Anolis sagrei: one gene and its partner. The protein of the gene in region 1 interacts with the protein of each later gene in a biochemical or structural test. Links are inferred from orthologs where the notes say so. Each region holds a gene or a part of one and is shown in the gene's direction. Other genes may lie near its edges.

Region 1 (10,571 bases):
CCAAGGACAGTCAATTTATCTCAGCTCAGTTTACCACGCAGGACTGCTACAAGGATAAAATGAGAATGACAAAGAGCTGCCTTTCAGCTCCTTGGAGGAAAAGGGAGAGGATAAAAATGGAGTGCCTAAAATAAACCTTTCAGGGAATAACAGTGTGGATGTTTTTTTTTCTTTTGGAAATGCTATGCCTTGCTATCATTTTATAGTTGTGTACACCTAAAAGGCAGGAAGAAGTGTTCAATGGTACATCCTTCATGATGTCCTGAGAAAGGGTGACTCCCTATCAGAACCTAAGAAAGATGCTGTAGTTTTTGGTTGACCTTGAACAGGCGCTTTCTCACTTTTTTCTGTTTATGAAAAGTCATAAGATGTGTAACAGTTTCCTTCTCTAAAATTTTATGCATTTACTGGAGAATAAATCCTACTAAGCTTAATAAAGCTAAGCTTCATTTCACATTACAGGTTTAGCATCTCTTCTCTGGAATTTCAAAATCCAGAATACTCAAAAATTTGAAACTGTCTATATGGGTGGCTGAGATCATGATAGCTTTGTTTTGTTAATTGTCCGGTGTACATAAACTTCATTTCATGTACAACAGTATTAAAATATTGTATTAAATTATCTCCAGATTATGTGCCTGGTTTATATGAAATATAAATGAATTTCATATTTAGAATTCAGTCCCATCTTATTTATTTATTTATTTATTTATTTATTTATTGCATTTATATACTGCTTTTCTCACCCCTGGGGGACTCAAAGCAGTCCACAACATAATCACTCCACAACATAATCAACGGTAAAATTCAATGCCTCACATGTATAAAAACATCACATATCAAATCATCAACATATGACAATAGATTAAAATCAATAAAACTATAAAACAATAATCCCGATGTTATCTTTAACTATTTCCATATTTCTGTCATTCAGCAAATGCCTGATTGAATAGCCAGGTCTTGTTTCCTAAATGCTAGGAGGAAGGGGGCTGATCTAATCTCACTGGCAAGGAAGTTCCACAGCCAAGGGGCCACCACTGAGGAAGCCCTGTATCACATCCCCACCAGTCGCACCTGCACAAGCATTTCAAATATTCAATGTGTATATAATGCAGTGCTATATTCCAACTGAACTGCCATAGCAATAGCCTATGCAGCCCTATTTTTTTGCAGTTGAGAGAGGGTCATTTACAATTCAGACTACATAGCCCAGGATGCCACAGGCAGTAACCATAGTGAAGTCGATTTCTGCCAGTCTTTCAAATCCTCCCGTTTCTACACACAGCATAAACTGAATTCCGTGAGCAACTCATGAAATGGGAAATGCATCATTTGATCAGCTTCGTGGGACTCTGTCTTGGAAGTTTGTAGAAACAGAAAGGGAAAATCAACCTATTTAACAAGCCTTGTAAATGCTGATTTGTTACCAGTAAATGTTTAATATTTTTATTCCTATTTCAAGTAACTGTATACTTGGGGTCATGTAAACATTTCTCTGGCTGAAAGGAGTCATGGTGGAAAAGTTTGTAAAGCTCTGCTACTGTGGTATAATAGAGAAGGTTATCAAACAGAAGTTTCTGTTTGTATCTTAACCTTCTACCATGGATGAAGTATTCGTCTTTTACTTCCAGTTAAGGATAGAATTTGATTTGCTGTAAAATGCATAGCCAAAAAAAGTGTTTTGATTGCATAGCAAAATACAGCCAGCCCTCTGTTATTACATATTACATATTGACATATTCAACTGTCCATTGGCTTGAAAATATCCCCCTCCAAAAAAAAAAAACATTTATATATTTATATTTTGCCATTTATATAAGGCACACCAATTTACTACAACATTGTATGCAATGGGACTTGAGGAGCCTGGGATTTTAGTATCTATGGGGAGTCCTGGAACTAAACTCTAGGACCCACTGTTCATCCTTTTTGGCTTCTAATGGAAGTTGTTCCTTTCATCAGCATTTATAATTATCCACATTCCTAGAGAAGTATCCTTTGCTAGTTCAAATTTATGTTAACTTCTTATGGGTTAGCCTGAAGGACCTAGAAAAATGCCAGAGAGGCCCTACTTTGTCAAATGCGGGTAGGTAAAGCTGCAAATGCCAATTCTACAGTTACAGAGGTCATACTAAAGTGAGCTCAATGTACATTTAATGCTCCATATATATTCACATCCTCAAGAAAGAGAATGCCATGGACTGCAGTAATCATGGACTGTTACCCAGGAAGACCAAAATGCTTGTTTATAAGGCTATTGTCCTCTCAACCCTGCTATACGCCTGTGAAATGTGGACCATCTACAGACTTCACACCCAACTCCTGGAAGAATTCCATCAGCAATAATAATAATAATAACTTATTAAATATTCTGCCCTATCTCCCCAAGCGTTGTTTCTGAAAAATCCTGCAAATCTCTTGGGAAGACAGGCGGACAAACATCAGTGTGCTGGAAGAAGCAAAGACCACCAGTATTGAAGCAATGATCCTCCGCCATCAACTCCACTGGACTGGCCACGTCTGAATGCCCAATCACTGTCTCCCAAAACAGTTACTTTACTCCCAACTGATGAACGGAAAATGTAATGTTGGTGGACAGGAAAAGAGATTTAAAGATGGGCTTAAAGCCAACCTTTAAAACGGTGGCATAGACACTGAGAACTGGGAAGCCCTGGCTCTTGAACACTCTAACTGGAAGTCAGCTGTTACCAACAGTGCTGAGGCCAAATGGAGGGCGAAAGGAAGAAACACGTCAACAGGAAGGTGCATCATGCCAACCCTGACCAGGACCGCCTTCCATCTGGAAACTGGTGTCCTCACTGTGGAATAACATGTGGGTCAAGAAAAGGTCTCCACAGCCACCTACGGACCCAAGGCTTGGAAGGCCACCATCCTACTCAGATGTGAGTGATTGCTGCTGCTGCTGCCCTGGTCTCCTATACATGCAAAGGGATGCTTAAAATCTTACAAGAAAAGACTTTTGCTACATATGAAGCAAGAAAAACCAATGTCTAAACTGCTTTTTAACAAAAAGGCAAACTACTAAGAGTTATTTTTTGCAAACATATGTTGAATAATGGAATCACCTCTACATTTTAGGGGGGAAATCACCTATGCCTTTATTTATTTGCTATATTTAAAGCCTGCCTTTCTGAGCGATATGGCAACTCAAGGCAGGTTACAGGCTAGCACAATTCCATGCCATACATTCACAAAAGAGCAATTAAAAACAATCAACATAACCATATATATATATATATATATATATATATATATATATGCCAATAAAGCATGTAATCCTTTGATTGCAACAAAGCCTTTGATTCTGCAAGATATAATTTATCCAAGGCCACCCATAGGGTTTGCTCTAAAAGAAATAAAAATGTCAGTTTGCTTGACTTGATGTATTATATTTGTCAGAATTATATCCTGACAAAACTGCCACTAGAATGACACAATATAGAGAAACACTGGCAATGGGGTCAAAGCAGATCACATGCAAAGCAGGATTAGACTCAGAAGAAGGTGGCATCAAAAGTGAGGGAAGGAAGACCAGAAATGTAAGATATGGAGTTGATCCCATTGCAGAATATAGCAAAGACTTTGAACGAGTATTGATGGCAGTTAAGGAAGGCAGTTCAAAAGCAGAGTTAAAGCTAAAAAAAATTAAAAACCAAAATAATGACCACAGATGCTTTACATAACTTTGAAGTGGGTATATTGAAGACCTCAAATAGTGAAAGATTTTCCATAATTTGACTCACTCATTGATCAAAATTTAGATAGTCGAGAAACCAGAAGAAGGATAAAACTTGGAAGAGCAAATATGAAGGAACTAGATAAAATAGAGAGAGAGAGAGAGACAGACAGACAGAGGGCTAGTACAAATCAGGACTGATCTGTCAATTGAATGCCTAGCTCTTTAAGCAGCTCCTCATAGGGCTTGTTCTCCAGACCCTTGATCATTTTCGTCGCCCTCTTCTGGACACATTCCAGAGTGTCTGTACTGTAGAATTAATGTCGTTTGACACAACTTTAACTGCCCTGATTCAGTACTGTGAAGCCTTGGGAACTGTAATTTGGTGAAAGGCATTATAAAACTAAACTGAGCCATGGCAGTTCAATTGGTGTATAGCTGTGTTAATTCTACAGTGTAGATGCCCCCAAAGAAGCCACTGCCCTGAGTTTAGGAGACTTGAGCAGGACATTTGATGAGTGGGGCTCTTGGAGGTCTCGCATTCATAGATTCACCATAAATCAAAGTCAGCTTGACAACATATAACAACCACAAAGAGCTCAAGCTTCCAGCTGCACCTATAGATTAGCCCTGCTCACTGTGGGAGCTCCAGCTGTTGTTCTTGCTGCTTAAACCACCTCTCCAAACACAAGAGGCTTGAATAAAACATTCATTAAAAGAACAGCCCTGAAAATCTCAAGCAGGGAGTCTTAAGTATCCTCTCAAACACATAGAGGGAGACCAACGGAAAGCAAAGCATAATTAATTTCTGTTGAAACTAACAGGAAAACAATGGCAAAACTTTACTGCTCTCGGATTAAAACCTAGAACTGAGTCACACTTTGAAAAATGCCTCCTGGGGATTTTTAATACCATTTTATTTCCTTGCATAGCCTACATGCCAAATGTATATAAATGAGCAAATTAATTCTACCAGGTCAGTTTATAAGGAGGCAATACCTTTATTAGGATTAACGACGCTTCCACAACAGTGAACGGCATTTCCAGTTCTCCAGAATGCATCACCAGGCTTACTTGAAGTTAATTTAAAAACAGTCAATTTAAACAGTTCATAAATAAATAAGTCAAACCACTGCCATCCTAGATAAAGCGTTCTGGAGAATACAAAAGGTTGCACCCTGTTGTGAAACTGTCCTCAGTCCTAATAAAGGTGTTGCAGGCATGTGGGTATATATCTAACTCAAAATATTAACAATGGCAAACCATAAATAAAATAAAAATATTTCTCAAAATGGAACAAAACATACAGTAAGATGAAAAAGTATGTTTATTTTTGTGCATGTCCACTTTATTTCTATTTGAAATGTGTTCTTTGACTGTGATTTCCTGCTTCTTGGCAGGGGGTTGGACTGGATGGCCCACGAGGTCTCTTCCAACTCAGTGATTCTACCATATTCACATATCTAAATTCAGAGCCCACTCTCCTGACTAAAGAGAACAAACTGCAGCCTTCTAGATGCCACTGTATCCCAATTCTCATCAGCTCTACTCATGATACCTAATGATGAGGAATACAGGAGTTGTAGTCCAGCATCCAGGGGGACACATGAAATGACATGACGGGCCGGATTCCACCTGCAGGCCTTGAGTTTGACATTTGTGATGTATATTGCACAGTGAACTAAGCTTGTCACGACCTGGGGTTGCCTTCTCAAGGCTACAGAATCCTGGGATTTGTAGTTTGACAAGGCCTTCTTTGCCAGAGTGCTTGTGCCTCAATAAACTGCAAATCAAAGGATCCCATGGGGTATAAATATAGTAATAATAATAACACTTTACTTTACTGGCACAAGCCAGTCAAGGTGGGCCCAGTGGTGATTGGCACATGGGTGCAGTTCCTAAAGACCTTGTTCTGCACTTAAACACAATTGGCACTGACAAAATTACCACCTGTCAGCTGCAAAAGGCTCAGATCTACACGCATTATTGGCTGATACACCACACAGTTGTAGAGACTTGGGAAGTGTGATCAATACAACAGCCAGCATAGTGATTTTGTTGGCTGTGTACAAATCTTGTGTTTCAAATAAGCATTGAGCCAGGGCAGTTCCCAGTGGTGTCAAAACTGGATTACTTCTACAGTATATAGATCAGGCATGGGCAAACTTGGGCCCTCCAGGTGTGTTTTGGAGTTGAAGTCCAAAACACACCTGGAGGGCCCAAGTTTGCCTATGATTAAGCGGCTGAGGAGGGAACAGAAAGGATCTGAGGCCAGGAATTTTGGGAGTTGAAGTTCAACACACACCTGGAGGGCCTAAGTTTGCCCTTGCTTAAGCGGTTGAGGGGGGAACAGAAAGGGCCTGAGGCCAGGAATTGTGGGAGTTGAAGTCCAAAACACACCTGGAGGGCCCAAGTTTGCCCATGCCTGATATAGATGCACCCATGGAGGCCAAGGACCTCCTTGGGTGCATTGATCTACCCTGTAAGATCAACTCATTTTGAACTGCAATGGCTCAAGGCTATGGGTTCCTGGGAGTTGTTGCTTCACAAGGTCTGTGGCTGTGCCCGGGGAGAAAAGGACCTCGGGACACGCGACGAGACTGAGCCACGCGTTGTTGTGGTGGTGGTTTCTCTTGCGGGAAGGGGCCTAGGCTGGCTCTCCCTGGGCTTCCCTGCCGCATGCCGAGGAAGGAGCGAGAGGCTCCAACCAACAGCCATCCCCAACAGACAGTCGCGGGCGGCTTCCAAGTAGCGGCGGAGGAAGAGGCGGCGTCCGGTCCTCTATATAGGCTGCGAGGAGGGCGTCCCCACGGGCCATTCGCAGTCCCGGCTTTGTTTCGGAGCCTTGGCCTGCTTTGGGTTGGGACAGGAGAGGCCAGGAGGGAAACCTCCGCTGCCAGCTGGAAAGGACGCAACAGGTCGGGGACTGGGCGGCTGCGTCATAGAAATGGGTCTCCCTCCTTTGGCAGGGAAATGCGGGGCAGAAAGGAAGCGGGGGGGGGGGGGGCTTCTGCTGGGGAGCATGGGAAGCCCTTCCAACCTCAGACCCCCACCAGTGGGCACTTGCTCTTTGGGGAAACGCCAGGCAGAAGAGGAGGAGCAAACTTTTCTTTTATGGTTTTTTAGCCCTGTAGAGCAGGCAAGGGCAAACTTTCTAACTTGGGGGCCTCCCTGCTAGGAGGAATGACTGCCTGGTGATGGAAGGAAGGAAGGAAAGAGAGAAGGAAGGAAGAACGAAAGGGAGGAAGGGAAGGATGGAAGAAAGAGGGAGAGATGGAAGAAGGGAGGAAAGACAAAAGGTAAGGAAGGAAGGAGAAAGGGAGAGAGGTAAGGATGGAAGGAGAAAGAAGAAGAGAGGGAGGAAAGGGGGAAGGAAGGAAAGATGAAAGGGTGGAAGGGAAGGGAAGAGGAAGGAAAAAGAGAAGGGAAGACAATAGGGAAGGAATGAGAAAGAGGGAGAGAGGGAAGGAAGGAAGGACAAAAGGGTGGAAGGAAAGGATGGAAGGAGAGAGAGAGAAGGGAGGAAGGTAAGGAGGAAGGAAAGAAAGAAGGAAGGAAGGACAAAAAGGAAGAAAGGAAGGAGAAAGGAAGCTTATAGTTTTACAAGGTTTTGAACCTTCTCTGCCCAATATTGAGTGCTGGTCCTTCACCAAACTGCAGATCCCAAGATTCCATAGCAGGGAGCATGCTGCCAAACTGCATTAATTGTACAGTGTGAATGAAAACTGCAAGGCTCAATGCTGTGGATTCCTGGTGGTTTGTAGTTTGGTGAGGCTCTCATTGTTAAAGAAGGCAAACTGCTGAACGACAAACTCCCATGATTTTATAGCATTGAGCTATGGCAGTTCAAGTGCCAAACTGCATTACTCAGTGTATCGCAGACCTGGGAAAACATGGGGCTTCCAGGCTTCAGCCCCCCCCCCCCCCGAAATTCTCATGGTGGTTCGCAAAAAGGCCTTACTGGTGCATTATTTAAACTGTTATGTTTATTCATATCATGATCTGATCACCATACTCAATATATCCCATATGCATGGGGTTATTAGAAAACGATACAAAAGGTTTGCTAGGCTAGACCCTCTTTCACTCAGACTCGCTCCCCGCACCCCCGAAACAAACTCAGCCCCCCTCCCGAATTGAAATCCTGGCTATGGGCCTGCTTCCAGGTGTTCTGGACTTCAACTCCTACAATAACAACAGCCTCGGGCCCCTTCCTTTCCCCCTTTAGCCGCTTAAGCTTAAGTCCAAAACACCTGGAAGGCCCAAGTTTGCTCAGGCCTAGTGTATAGTGTCTACAAAGCCATGGAAGTCACTGGGGGAAATTGGACCGACTTTTGCCTGAACTACCTTTTGAGGTTGCAAGGTGGAGAAATAAACGTGTATGCTGTATTGAGAGTATTAGAGGAAGGATGGGAGTGTAAATGCACCTATTTCCCCCCCTCTGATTCTTTCCAAGTGAAACATGTTTTTATGATTTGAATACAACAGGAATACCTCTGGAAATAAAGCAACAGAGTTGCAAACTGTTTGGAAACATGACCTGTTGGATTCTGCAGGACATACTCCTGGGAACACTTAAATATCTCCTCATCTTTTGATGTAGTCATTTGGAAGTAAATGCAGTGAAACCTGGTTCCACCTGAGGTCCTTAAACCTTAGGATCTTCAGCTCCATTCCCCTTAAATCACTCTAATCCCATTGGTTCCAAACAGATGGATTTGGTTTGAGAAGGGAGGGAAGGAAGCAGGTGATGGGTCAGTGACACCAGTTTGCAGTTTGGGGGAAGCTGCAGGTAAGTTCATATAATGCTCCGGTTTTAAGTTTTGGCATTATTTAATTTCCTGATATGTTTACTGATAGCCTTTGACATGGCTATCAGTATGTCTGAATGAATCTGTGGTCAAACTATACCCAGTATTTTGCTCGTGAGGGCCACAGGGATTGCTTGAAAATTGAGTATTGTAAGAAATAGCTGAATGTTTACTCCAGGTTTTGAAAAACAAGTAGCTTTGGATGTTGAATAAGGCAGTCTTGCAACCTGTAAACCCCAAGAAGCAATTCATCCTTTTCTTGGCATGAAAGGCCATCTGAGGAATCTGGGAGGTTTAATTGCTGTGAAATAGCTTTGGGAAGCCACTTACCACCTAGGATAACATGCTTATGATTCTCACTGAAACAGGATGCCTCTCAACAAAATGTTTAATGTATTTGTATATATTTTAACTAGTACTGATGAAAGAGCCAGAATGGAGTGATAGTTTAAGTATTGGACTAGGACTCTGTGAGGCCAAGGTTTGAATTGCTACACTGTCTTGGAAACCCAATGGTTGACCTTGGGAAGGTCACATGCTCTCAACCTCAGAAGAATGCAATGGTAGGCCCCTTCTGAACAAAGCTTTTTTAAAAAAAAACAACCCTTGTGATGGGGTTGCCATAAATTGGGAGGGGTTCAAAGGCACATGGCCTTTGGCGTTCCATTCTGGAACCAGTTTGAGGCCCAGATGGTGATTACACAAATCACCGAGCACTGAAGCACATTTAGGGCTGTCTTTCTTGCACTTTTTGTGGAAGTTTGTTGTCTAGCTGCCACAGCCTGAAGCTTCCTTCGAACGTCATTGACCAGTCAGTGTATAAGGGGCCAGCAGCAGCAACTAGAAGAAAGGTCTGATTAACCTTTTCTCCAACCTGCAGTCTTATGGATGTGAAGCACAACAAATCCCACCATCCCTAGGTGTGAAAAAGAATGGTTATTTTAGGTCAATCTATCTGCAAGACTCTAAGTTGGGGGATGATGCCATTAATAAAATTTCTTCAATACCAAAGGCAAGCATTCAAAAGCAGAATGCACTTTGCAGGTTTTTTTAATAAAGTTAAAGCACCAGGCTAGAGATCAGAGCTGTTATCATGAAAAATAACTAAATGTGTGTTTCCTTTTCACCCCAGCATCAGTTGCTGTCCTTGAGAAAATGAATCCCAGCAGCAAAGAGAAAGAGAAGGAACAGGTGGGGTGCTGGGATGACCTGTTGGAAATGGCTGAGCCTCATGCCCATCAAAATGCCCCTCAGAGGGCTGTTCTGAGAGAGATCTCTGAAAATGGACAGCGCCCGAGACCCTGTGCCCAGGTAAATTGGGGAAGAGTGGGCTTCCTAGGAAACTCATGGCACAGTCAGTTTGGTCTGAGCAAGTCTTCAACCTCTTAAACTAAATGTTGAGAATTGGTTATGGTGGATGTTTTAAATGACTATCTAGACATCTTCTCCTTATTCTGCAAACTGATTTCACAAATAATCAGTCAGTTTGACCAGCATTACAGTCAGCTCTCTGTATCCATGGGTTCTGCATCCATGGATTCAACCATCCAATGGCTTGAAAATATTCCCACTATAAAAGTTCCAAAAAGTAATTATTGATTTTGCCATGTGATATAAGAGACACTATTTTACCATATTATGTTATATAATTGGACTGATTTTGGTATCCACGTGGAGTTATTATTTTACTTACTTACTTAGGTGATCTCTCATAGTCCAAGGATGATGGTCCTCCAAGTTTGGTGTTCTGGCAGTGGGTTCGTAGGTGACTGTGGAGCCCTATTCTTGATTTGCATCTTCTCCCACAGTGAGGGCATCGGTTTCCAGGTGGAAGGCGGTCCCAGTCGGGGTTGGCTTGATGTGCCTTCCTCTTGGCACATTTCTCTCTAACCTCCATTCGTGCCTCTTCAAATTCTACATCAGTGCTGGTCACAGCTGACTTCCAACTGGAGTGCTCAAGGGCCAGGGCTTCCCAGTTCTCTGTTTTATGCCAGAGTTTTTAAGGTTGGCTTTGAGCCCATTTTTAAATCTCTTTTCCTGTCCTCCAACATTCAGTTTTC
Region 2 (10,228 bases), on another chromosome or scaffold:
TCAGCTCAGAAATGGAGATGAGCACCATCACTCTGAGTTGGACACCACTAGACTTAATGTCAAGGGGAGGCCTTTACCTTTACAATATAGGAAAAGAAATATGTCTGGGGGCCCTTCCACACAGCCCTATATCTCAGACTATCAAGTTAGAAAATCCCACAATATCTGATTTGAACTGGTTTATCTGAGTCCACACTGCCATAAATTCCAGTTCAAAGCAGAAAATGTGGGACTTTATTCAGCTGTGTGGAAGTAGCCTTAGAAGGAAGAAATACAGAAATATTTCTTAGTTTATGAAGCACAACAGTGCCATCTAAAGGCACAGGCTATGAATACCAAATTCTGACAAACTATGGCATTGTTCTGACTTGTCTTCCTATGACACCTGTCTTCTTGTACAGAATATTGGATGAATGGCACATTGGCTGCTGGAATGTACCAATTCTGTACTCGGTACCAAAACATATTAATGCAATTTTTAAACTCTCCTATTCTGTTTTAAACTTCTAGAAATTACAGCATTACTACTTTATGTTTATATCAGAGACTGGGAAAGGCATATTTATTTGGAATGAACAAATGAGTTCATTTAAATCGCAAAACATTTCTGTAATGGAGCAAAGTGGGTTCTTCATTGGCGAGTTCCTGAATATGCTTCTATGCAGGGCTTTGAAAGGTTACTTTTTAGAGTACAACTGAGCTGCAATACAAAAAAGTAGCTTTCCCAAGCCCTTATTGTCTGTATTGGAATACTGTGATGTTGTCCCCGTCCCCCCCCCCCCCCGAAGCAAAATACTGTTCATGATATGTGTGGTTTCTTGCTTATAGATAAATATTCCCTTTATGTATGTAAAGTTAAGTTGATTACCATTTGAGGAAGAATATCTACTTTACCTGGAGGTGTAAACTTTTCTTTGGATGTCAGGAAGTCACCTAACAAGTTATCTTCTACAGGAATGCATGGCTTTGATGGGATTAACTGCAATATTTCAACAGTCCTGTTGCACTTTAGAGAGGACTGGAATGTCTTATTCAACATAATATTTTACAGACTCCTCAACCCATCTGGTTGTATCTATTAAACCTGCCAGAAACTTATGATAAATAAAATGTGTTATTCTCCCAAGTGTTACAAGATTCCTTGTTGGCCCCTTCCAAACCCCACATTTTCTGCTTTGAACTGGAATATATGGCAGTTTGGACTCAGATAACCCCGTTCAAAGCAGATATTGTGGGATTTTCTGCCTTGATATTCTGGGCTATATGGCTGTGTGGAATGGCCATATAGAATATTGAAGTAAAGAATTACAATTAAATCACATGTGGCACTGGGAACAAATTTATTCTCTCTTTCCCTTTGAGCTAGAGAAGGTGACGTTTTAAATTGGCAGACTGTTATGCAGGAGAATGGGTGGGGAAGAGTTGCCACCGTGGCCAAAGGAAATTCAAATGCAAAAGGCATGTTGATGTCATCTTAACAGTAGTATTGTTGATTGACAGGAGGTTGATTAACACATACAGCAATAAGCCCTTTGTTACAGTTTGAGTCACAGGAGAACTTCCTGATGAATTCTTATTCAGCTGTGTCAATTTTCCTCTGTTCGTCGTATTCAAGAATGATCACCATGTGTTTGATGTAATGATGGTTTGCTGGGATTAATACATGTTCATACAGCAAATTGAGATTCTTATCACTACACTGTGATAATGTCATGGGATTAATGGTGGAATAATTGTGTGTGTATGTGTAATGTCAAAAGCAAATTGAGAATACAGTTATAATTCACAAAAAACCACAAAGTTAAAAACTTGGCATTATACTAAATTTCTTTTGAACAGAAGCTGGCCACTTGCAGTGCCTCTAGTGTCACTGTAAGAGGGTCGTCCATTGTGTAGGGCTGTTTTCCACCCTTGCATTTCATGGATTCCACTTTGAAGCCCCATTTCTTAAGATTGGCTCTGCGTCTTGTGGTGCCAGAGCGCAGTCTGTTCAGATTGAGGGTCCAGGTTTTAACTTGCCACTTTTGGACTCTTGCTTGCTGAGGTGTTCCTGCAAATATCTCTGTAGATCTTAGGAGGCTATTTCTTGATTTAGGGCATTGGCTTGCTGGTTGATATCCGAACAGAAGACACATTTGAGCATCCCCTGAGCAATATCTTGGTAGATGGTCAATTCTCTCACGCCAGAAGCAACTTGCAGTATGCAATTATTATTATTACACCACTGTAAATGCCATAGCAACATTGTTTGCATTTTGTAATTAGTGAGGCCCAAAAATTCTCTGACAAAGAATTCTCTCTAGGTTCCATACAGTGTTGAAAAGCAAAGAAAAATGGGTTCCCTTGGAATTAAAAAGGTCAGTATCCACTAATTGCAGTGATGCAAATGTATCTAAACACACAGAAGCTCAATGTATACATGCAAATACAAATGTCAGTAAAACATAGGATTGTTGCATTCACATTTAACAATAAATAATTTGTTCTTTTCTCGAAAAATTAAAAAATTCTTCTTCATGTGTGGAAATAGTACTTGACTCTTTACTACAGACGAGTAAACTCCAAATCCTTGCACAGTAAAGATGCTTGCCACAGATGCAGGTGAAATGTCAGGAGAGAATGCTTCTAGAACATGGCCATACAGCCCAAAAAACTTACAACAACCCAAATGTCCTATTTTCTTTATTACATAACATTCAACCGGTTTTGACTCACAGGAGTCTTCATCAGATAGTTGGGTCCTTAAACAATGCACGTTATTAATACACACAGCGTCATTTAAGGTAAAGTGACTTTTGAATAATGTATATTAAGATAAGACTTGTGTGGCAAAAGTTTGTTAATTGAATGGATGTATCAATGGAAAACTTAATATTACTATTTCAGATGTCAGATATTTGGCTATTTCTTCTCTCCCCCCCCCCCCCCTTCCCAAGATGGGTTTGTAAACCCGGTGTAACAATACAAGAGGGCATTGCCAGGAAATGAAGGTACATCCTATGCAGAAGATGCATTGTTGTATAAAAGAATCATCATATTGTGGATGATATTAAGTCCAGCAATAGTGTTGGTTCCGGGAGATACTGGACATAGTAGAGTCATGGTGGCTAAAGTGGACTCTACCAACGAAGATCTGCTTTTTGTATTGTTTCCTTGGGGGCATCTGCACGGTAGAATTAATGCAGTTTGGTATCACTTTAACTGGAGCCCCCGGTAGCACAGTGCGTTAAACCACTGAGCTGCTAAACTTGTTGACCGAAAGGTCGCAGGTTTGAATCTGGGGAGTGGGGTGAGCTCCCACTGTCAGCCCCAGCTTCTGCCAACCTAGCAATTTGAAAACATCCAAATGTGAGTAGATCAATAGGAACCGATCCAGTGGGAAGGTAACAGCGCTCCATGCAATCATGCTGGCCATGACCTTGGAGGTGTCTACAGACAATGCCGGCTCTTTGGCTTAGAAAAAGCACCAACCCCCAGAGCCGGACACGACTGGACTTAATATGAGGAGAAACCTTTACCTTTTTACTAGGTTGACAGAAGCTGGGGCTAACAGCGGGAGCTCACCCATCTCTGGATTTGAACCACCGCCTTCCAATCAGCAATTTCTGCAGCTTAGTGGTTTAACCCACTGCACCATTACGGCCCCTCGAAAGAACAATACACTATTTAAAATAATGAATAATTTTAACCAACATAAACTTGCCAGTATTTCAATGGGAAGTGTAGGCCTGCCTTTGGCTGATGAGACTCACGTTAATGAGGATTGTTGTTGTGAGCAAGTCATTTCAGACTTTATTGTTGTATTTTGTGGTACAGCAGGTTAAACTGCTGAGCTGCTCAACTTGCTGACTGAAAGGTTGGCGGATTGAATCCTAGGAGCGGGGTGCGCTCCTGCTGTTAGGCCCAGCTTCTGCCAACCTAGCAGTTCAAAAACATGCAAATGTTATTAGATCAATAGGTACCCCTTTGGATGTTTTTATGTTGAATGTTCTTATATTGAATGTTTTTATGTTGAATGTTTTTATATTGTATATAAGCTATTTTGCCCTATTTTGCCCTTGCCGACCAAGGGCAAGATGGATGGACAGCATCCTTGAAGTGACTGGACTGACCTTGAAGGACCTGGGGGTGGTGACGGCCGACAGGGAGCTCTGGCGTGGGCTGGGCCATGAGGTCACGAAGAGTCGGAGGCGACTGAACGAATGAACAACAAATAAGCTATTTTAAATTATAAGTCACTTGGAGCATTTTGGTGGAAAGCGACTAATTAAGAAATAAAGTGATGATGATGATGATTTGGTGGGAAGGTTAACAGCGCTCTATGCAGTCATGCCGGCCACATGACCTTAGAGGTGTCTACGGTCAATGCCGGCTCTTCAGCTTAGAAATGGAGATGAGCACCAAACCCCAGAGTCAGACACGACTGGCCTAAATGTCAGGGGGAAACCTTTTCCTTTATCTCTTACCACTTTAACTGCCATAGCTCAATTCCATGACATTCTGAAAGATGCAGTTTTACAAGGTCTGCCAGTTGCTGGTGCCACACCAAGCTACAAATCCCAGGATTCCACAGCATTGAGCCAAGGTCGTTAAAGAGGTATCAAACTGCATCAATTCTACAGTGTAGATGAACTCTATGTGGGAGTTTTTTTAAAAAAAGAAGGAATGAAAGAAGTTAGTTAATTAAAAATTTACAAAAGAGGAACCCACAGTGCTCATCTGATTATATTGATCGCTACTAGCTTGGGATGATGCACAGCTGGAAGGATCTGCTGACTTGAGCCTCTTAAACCAGAAGCTTCCCAACTTTGCCCGCGCGCGCCACTTTGGCCCCGCTTCTTTCCACCCCAGGTCCAATAGATTTTCGTTTCTCGTCCGCCGCGCGCACGGGACGTCACCACGCCGGAAGAAAGTGGTTGGCTGGCTGGCAGCCGGGGGCGGGGTTGGCGCGAGATAGGAAAAAATTGCTGCTCTGGAGACCCGGGCGGGCGCGAGCCATCCGCGCGCGCTAATCCTGGGCTCCCCTTTCCTTCCTTGCAATGGTGGCCAGCACTGTTGCTCTTGCTGCTGCTGCTGCTATAACCTCATCCACCTCTTCTTCTTCTTTGGGATCGTTATTTTAATTTATATTCTTGCCTAATTGTTTTTTTTTAAATCTAGAACAGAACAGGATGTCCCGCAAGGTTGGCTGGTGAGTTTTGCATTGGGGTTAAAATGATATTGCCTTAAATACTATAAATTTGATTAAGAGGGAAATAAGTGTGTGTGTGTGTGTGGGGGGGGGGGGTATTTCCTGGCCATTTCCCCAAAAGGTAATTTCTCTCATAGCAAAGAGAGATGTATCCCCCACAATAGTGGAAGTGATCCTATGGTTTCCATGGATGACTTAATTTGAAAGCGAGGTTGCTCTATTTTATTTTAATTTGGGTGCAATATTTTAAGGGGTGCTCCAGATGGCCCGCGTGAATTTCCAAGGCGGGAGAGGAACTCAATTCTCTTTGCGCCAAAAAAGGAAGGGGAAAGGAAGGTCCTCCCTGATCGATTTATTTTAAAGGGCTTGGGTTTTTATCTAGATCGATTTGGTAACTATTATTTCAGTGTGAAATCTTTAGATTACTTAAGCCCCTTCCATACAGCCCTATATCCCAGAATATCAAGGCAGAAAATCCCACAATACCTGCTTTGAACTGGGTTATCTGTGTCCACACTCAGATAATGTGGGATTTTCTGCCTTGATATTCTGGGATTTAGGCCCCTTCCACACAGCTGAATAAAATCCCACATTTTCTGCTTTAAACTGGAATATATGGCAGTGTGGACTCAGATAACCCAGTTTAAAGCAGATACTGTGGGATATTTTTTGCCTTGATATTCTGGGCTATATGGCTATATGGAAGGGCTCTTTCTCTTCCCTTCCCCCAGCACACCTGAATGGAGGAAATGGCAATGCATTTCCAATCACTGAAAAGGAAGTATGCATTTACATTGTAAAATTAATGTACTTTAACTCTTAGTTGCCATGCTGTAGAACCACAGAATTTGTAGTTTGCTGGAGCACCAGCTCTCTTTGTCAGAGAAGGCTAAAAACCTGGTAAAACTACAACTCACATGGTTTCATAGCATTGAACCATGGCAGTTAAAGCAGTATCAGACTGCATCAAATTTAGTATAAATGCACCCCGTGTCTTGTAACAAATACAAACTTCAGATTCCTTGGAGGTCATGAGAAAGTTATTGAAAGAAAGCAATTAAAAGAATCCACGAGCATGTGGACAATTGCAACGGGAAGGAGGAAACTATGAAAATGAACAAAATATGGCTACCATTCTTTCAAAAACTCTAAAATCAGGTCAGTAAATAAAGAGGATTGCAAGAAACAGGAGAATTCCTGTCATGAAACAATCATGACTAGATAACACCTCCCAACAAAGGATTCCCCCAGGCAGCAATCGCCCAGGCTTTGAAGCTGCAAAGTCATTTAAATGCTAATCAAGGTGGCCAATTTCAACATTCACACTTGCCTCCAACAGACAAGAGTTCTTTCTTCCTCCCTGGACATTCCTTCTTTACTTAGGCAATCTCTCGGGGGCCAAGGATGATGGTCCTCCAAGTCTGGTGGGTTCGTAGGTGGCTGTTCTGCATGTTCTCTCCCAGTGAGGACATTGGTTTCCAGGTGGAAGGACGTTTCTTAGCACGTTTCTCCCTTTTGCCCTCCATTTGTGCCTCTTCGAATTCCACAGCACTGCTGGTCACAGAAGGGTTGGCTTGCGGATCATCCAGTTGATTCAGTGGGTCTGTTAATTTGATTTATCTATATGGGCCTAAATCCAATTAACAGACCCACATAGTCAACTGGATGATCTGTAAGCCAATCCTTCTGCAAATCCTTCTAATTCATTATGTCTACTGTGGTTGAGAGTAACATTAGGAAGCACACTTTTCAACAAAATCACTGCTGTTTGCATGGATGGATGCAACTAGCAATATTTTAATAGGTGGGTTGCTGTGAGTTTTCCGGGCTGTATGGCCATGTTCAAGAAGCATTCTCTTCTGATGTTTCACCCACATCCATGGCAGGCATCCTCAGAGGTCATGAGGTCTGTTGGAAGCTAGGCAATTGGAATGTCCAGGCTCTTGAGCACTCTAGCTGGAGGTCAACTAAACCTTTTGCTGAATGAGAAAAGCTTAAATTCTCAACTGATGAACAAGGTAATTCAATATTGTGTTAACAAAGTGTCTCTTCCTTTCTTTTAAAACTAGTGAAGAGCAAGATGAATTGCACAGTCAAGACTCAGATGCTCAGGAACGGCGGGACAACAGGTGCAAAGTCAAATGGTCACGCGAAGAGGTATTGTCCTGTGGGGATTTTGGGGGTTAAGGTATGGAGTGGGATGGGAAACACTCTGGCGACATTCATCAAGAGCTATTATGAGAAGTCCTGACTTGAAAAGCTGGGGCATTTATGGTCCTTCAGAAGTCTCATCTGCCTTGGGCCCCTTCCACACTGCTCCTATATCCCAGGATCAGATCCTGGGATATATAACATTGTAGAAGGGGGCCAGGCCCGTAGCCAGGATTTCGTTTCGGGGGGGGCTGAATTTTTTTTCAGGGGGGGTTTCGGGGGGAGGCTGAGTTTCGGGGGGGGCTGAGTCTGAGTGAAAGAGGGGCTAGCCTAGCAAACCTTTTGTATCGTTACCCCAATACCCCCATGCATATGGGATATATTGAGTATGGTGATCAGATCATGATATGAATAAACATAACAGTTTAAATAATGCACCATTAAGGCTTTTTCGCGAACCACCATGAAAATTTCGGGGGGGGGGGGGGGGCTGAAGCCCCCCGAGCCCCCCCCCCCTGGCTACATGCCTGAAGGGGGCTTAGCAATTGCAGCCAGTATTTTACTTCTGGCAGGAAGGGCACTGTCAAATTTCAATAAATAAAATAGGAATCCTATGGATATCTCCCTTGTCCAGCTATTCAAAGATGCTGCCGTATTGGTCTAGAACAGTGGTTCTCAGCCTGTGGGTCCCCAGGTATTTTGGCCTGCAACTCCCTGAAATCCCATCCCATTTACTAGCTATTCAGATTTCTGGGAGTTGAAGGCCAAAACATCTGGGGACCCGCAGGATGAGAAACCACTGAATTAAAGCAAGGTAGGATATGTATTATCAATCAATGGTCTGGAACATCGGTATACAACGGGATCTTGCAGCACCTTAGCGAATAACTGAAATAATGAAGCTGGTAGCATAAGACTTTTGTAGACTTAAGAGTGCATCTACATTGTAGGATTATTGCACTTTGATTTCACTTTTACTGCTGTGGCTCAATACTATGGAATTCTGGGAGTTGTAGTTTAGTAAGTGTAGAGAAATGTTTATTATAGAGTGTTTAATGTACTGTGTTTAAACTGCATTTATGTATTACATTTATTGCCATGGCCTAGCTGTGAGGGATAGGTTGCCATGGTGACAAGACAAAGCCTCAGAGAAGGTGGGCGGAGCTTAAGGAGAAAAAGGTGGGAAAGTGGCAGTTAAGCTCCAGTCCGGTGGAGGAGACCCGGAGAAGAGCAGAGCCAGTTAAGGGCTCTGGGAAATAGCAGAGTCAAGAAAGGACTCTGGGGGAAAGTAGTTTAGTCCGGTGGAGGAGACCCGGAGAAGAGCAGAGCCAGTTAAGGGCTCTGGGAAATAGCAGAGTCAAGAAAGGACTCTGGGGAAAGTAGTTTAGTCCGGTGGAAGAGACCCGGGGAAGAGGAGAGCCAGTTAGGGCTCTGTTGTGAAGCTGTGAGAATTCAGTAGTTCCTAGAATTTGTGAATATTTCTTCAGCAAGAGAGCTGAAGGTGTTACCTTGTTAGATTGCTTAGGTTAAAGGAATCTAACAGAGGGGGGTTTTCAGGATTGCCAGTAAGGAAAGACTGGTGATCAGTGGTTTGTTCCGAGTATAGGGCAAACCGTGTGGATATTCACAATAGGGAACTCTGAGATAGTATAAGCACTTCACTAAAGAAGGAGTTTGTAGATTTGTAACATTCAGAAGCCTGAAAGTATCTCAAACCAGCCATTTTGTAACATCAAGCCTTGTGCCAAGTTCAAATTCTCAAAACTGCAACAATTACGTTCTGTTAACAATAAAACTTGTTCTCTTTGTATTTCAAACCTGCCTCCTCCATTGCTTCTATGCTTGGTGCATTCCACACTACCAAAATCACCTCACAACACAACTAAGGATAAACAGAGACATAAACCAGCGTCTCTAAACATATTGGTGGCAGCTTAATTGATATTTAAAAGAAGGTTCCTCACAGAATATTGGTGGGATTAACGCTTCGTTACAGTAAGGACCAGCGGTTTTCAGCAGAAAAGGCTAAAGACCTTGTAAAACTACAATTCCCATGATTTCATACCATTGAACCAAGGCAATTAAAGTGGTGTCAAACTGATTTAAGTGTGGTGATTGTGGTGGGGTGATGGCTTTGTTTGTTTTTTCTTTACTATAGCCCAGAGTTTGGGTGCTTACACAGTATGGCCCACATATCTGCAGGAAATATATTTCCAGACTTACAGTGGAAACAAAAACTTGTGGATAATAGTTAACTCTATTGAAATGAACCACCTCTGACGGAAGCATACCATAGAATTGTACTGGAGGGCCTAGAAACTGCCAAAAGAGAACAGTACTCTAGCATTTGTGGGTCCTCCATTGCAACTCTATGATCAATTTCTGGCCAAAGCACAATGTAGAATTCCACTGGATGACCTAGAAAATCCAACGAGAGAACACATTCCTTCCATTATATTGGAAGACGTAGAAAATGTCAAAGAGATTTTTTTGGCTGTGGTTAAGTGAAACAGTTGGTACTGATCCCCCAAATATTGCTGTCATACAGTATTTTCAAATATTTTGGTGTTTGATTCCCAAGAACTTCCACTCAATATAGCAAATGGCAAGGAATTGTGAGAATGGCACTTCAAAACATCTGCAGGTCTAAAAGTTCCTCGATTCATATACTATGATGTTAAAGGGCCACAAACACCTAATCTTACTGAAACTTATTCCTGAAATATTAGATTGCAATGTGTGTTCTTTATGTGGCCTGACAGTATTTCTCTTTGCAGGATGAGCTATTGAACTCCCTGGTGAATCAGTTTGGACATGACTGGAAGTTTCTTGCCAGTCACTTTCCTGTAAGTTGAGTTTTTCAGCAGAGTGAAAGGTTTTCTTTGG

Evidence for each region. The genes of interacting proteins can lie anywhere in the genome.
Region 2: the proteins of CCNA1 (region 1) and MYBL2 form a complex in vitro, tested with the Homo sapiens proteins (2 studies listed by BioGRID, with this or other methods). The link is inferred for Anolis sagrei from reciprocal best matches to the Homo sapiens genes CCNA1 and MYBL2.

What each region holds. Positions count from the first base shown.
Region 1 is NC_090023.1:35,419,673-35,430,243, forward strand, and holds the start of CCNA1 (cyclin-A1), read left to right. Parts: upstream 1-6,548; 5' UTR 6,549-6,618; intron 6,619-9,643; 5' UTR 9,644-9,666; coding exon 9,667-9,822; intron 9,823-10,571. UniProt on the Homo sapiens protein: May be involved in the control of the cell cycle at the G1/S (start) and G2/M (mitosis) transitions. May primarily function in the control of the germline meiotic cell cycle and additionally in the control of mitotic cell cycle in some somatic cells.
Region 2 is NC_090024.1:212,223,656-212,233,883, forward strand, and holds the start of MYBL2 (myb-related protein B), read left to right. Parts: upstream 1-4,946; 5' UTR 4,947-5,171; coding exon 5,172-5,191; intron 5,192-7,260; coding exon 7,261-7,348; intron 7,349-10,119; coding exon 10,120-10,188; intron 10,189-10,228. UniProt on the Homo sapiens protein: Transcription factor involved in the regulation of cell survival, proliferation, and differentiation. Transactivates the expression of the CLU gene.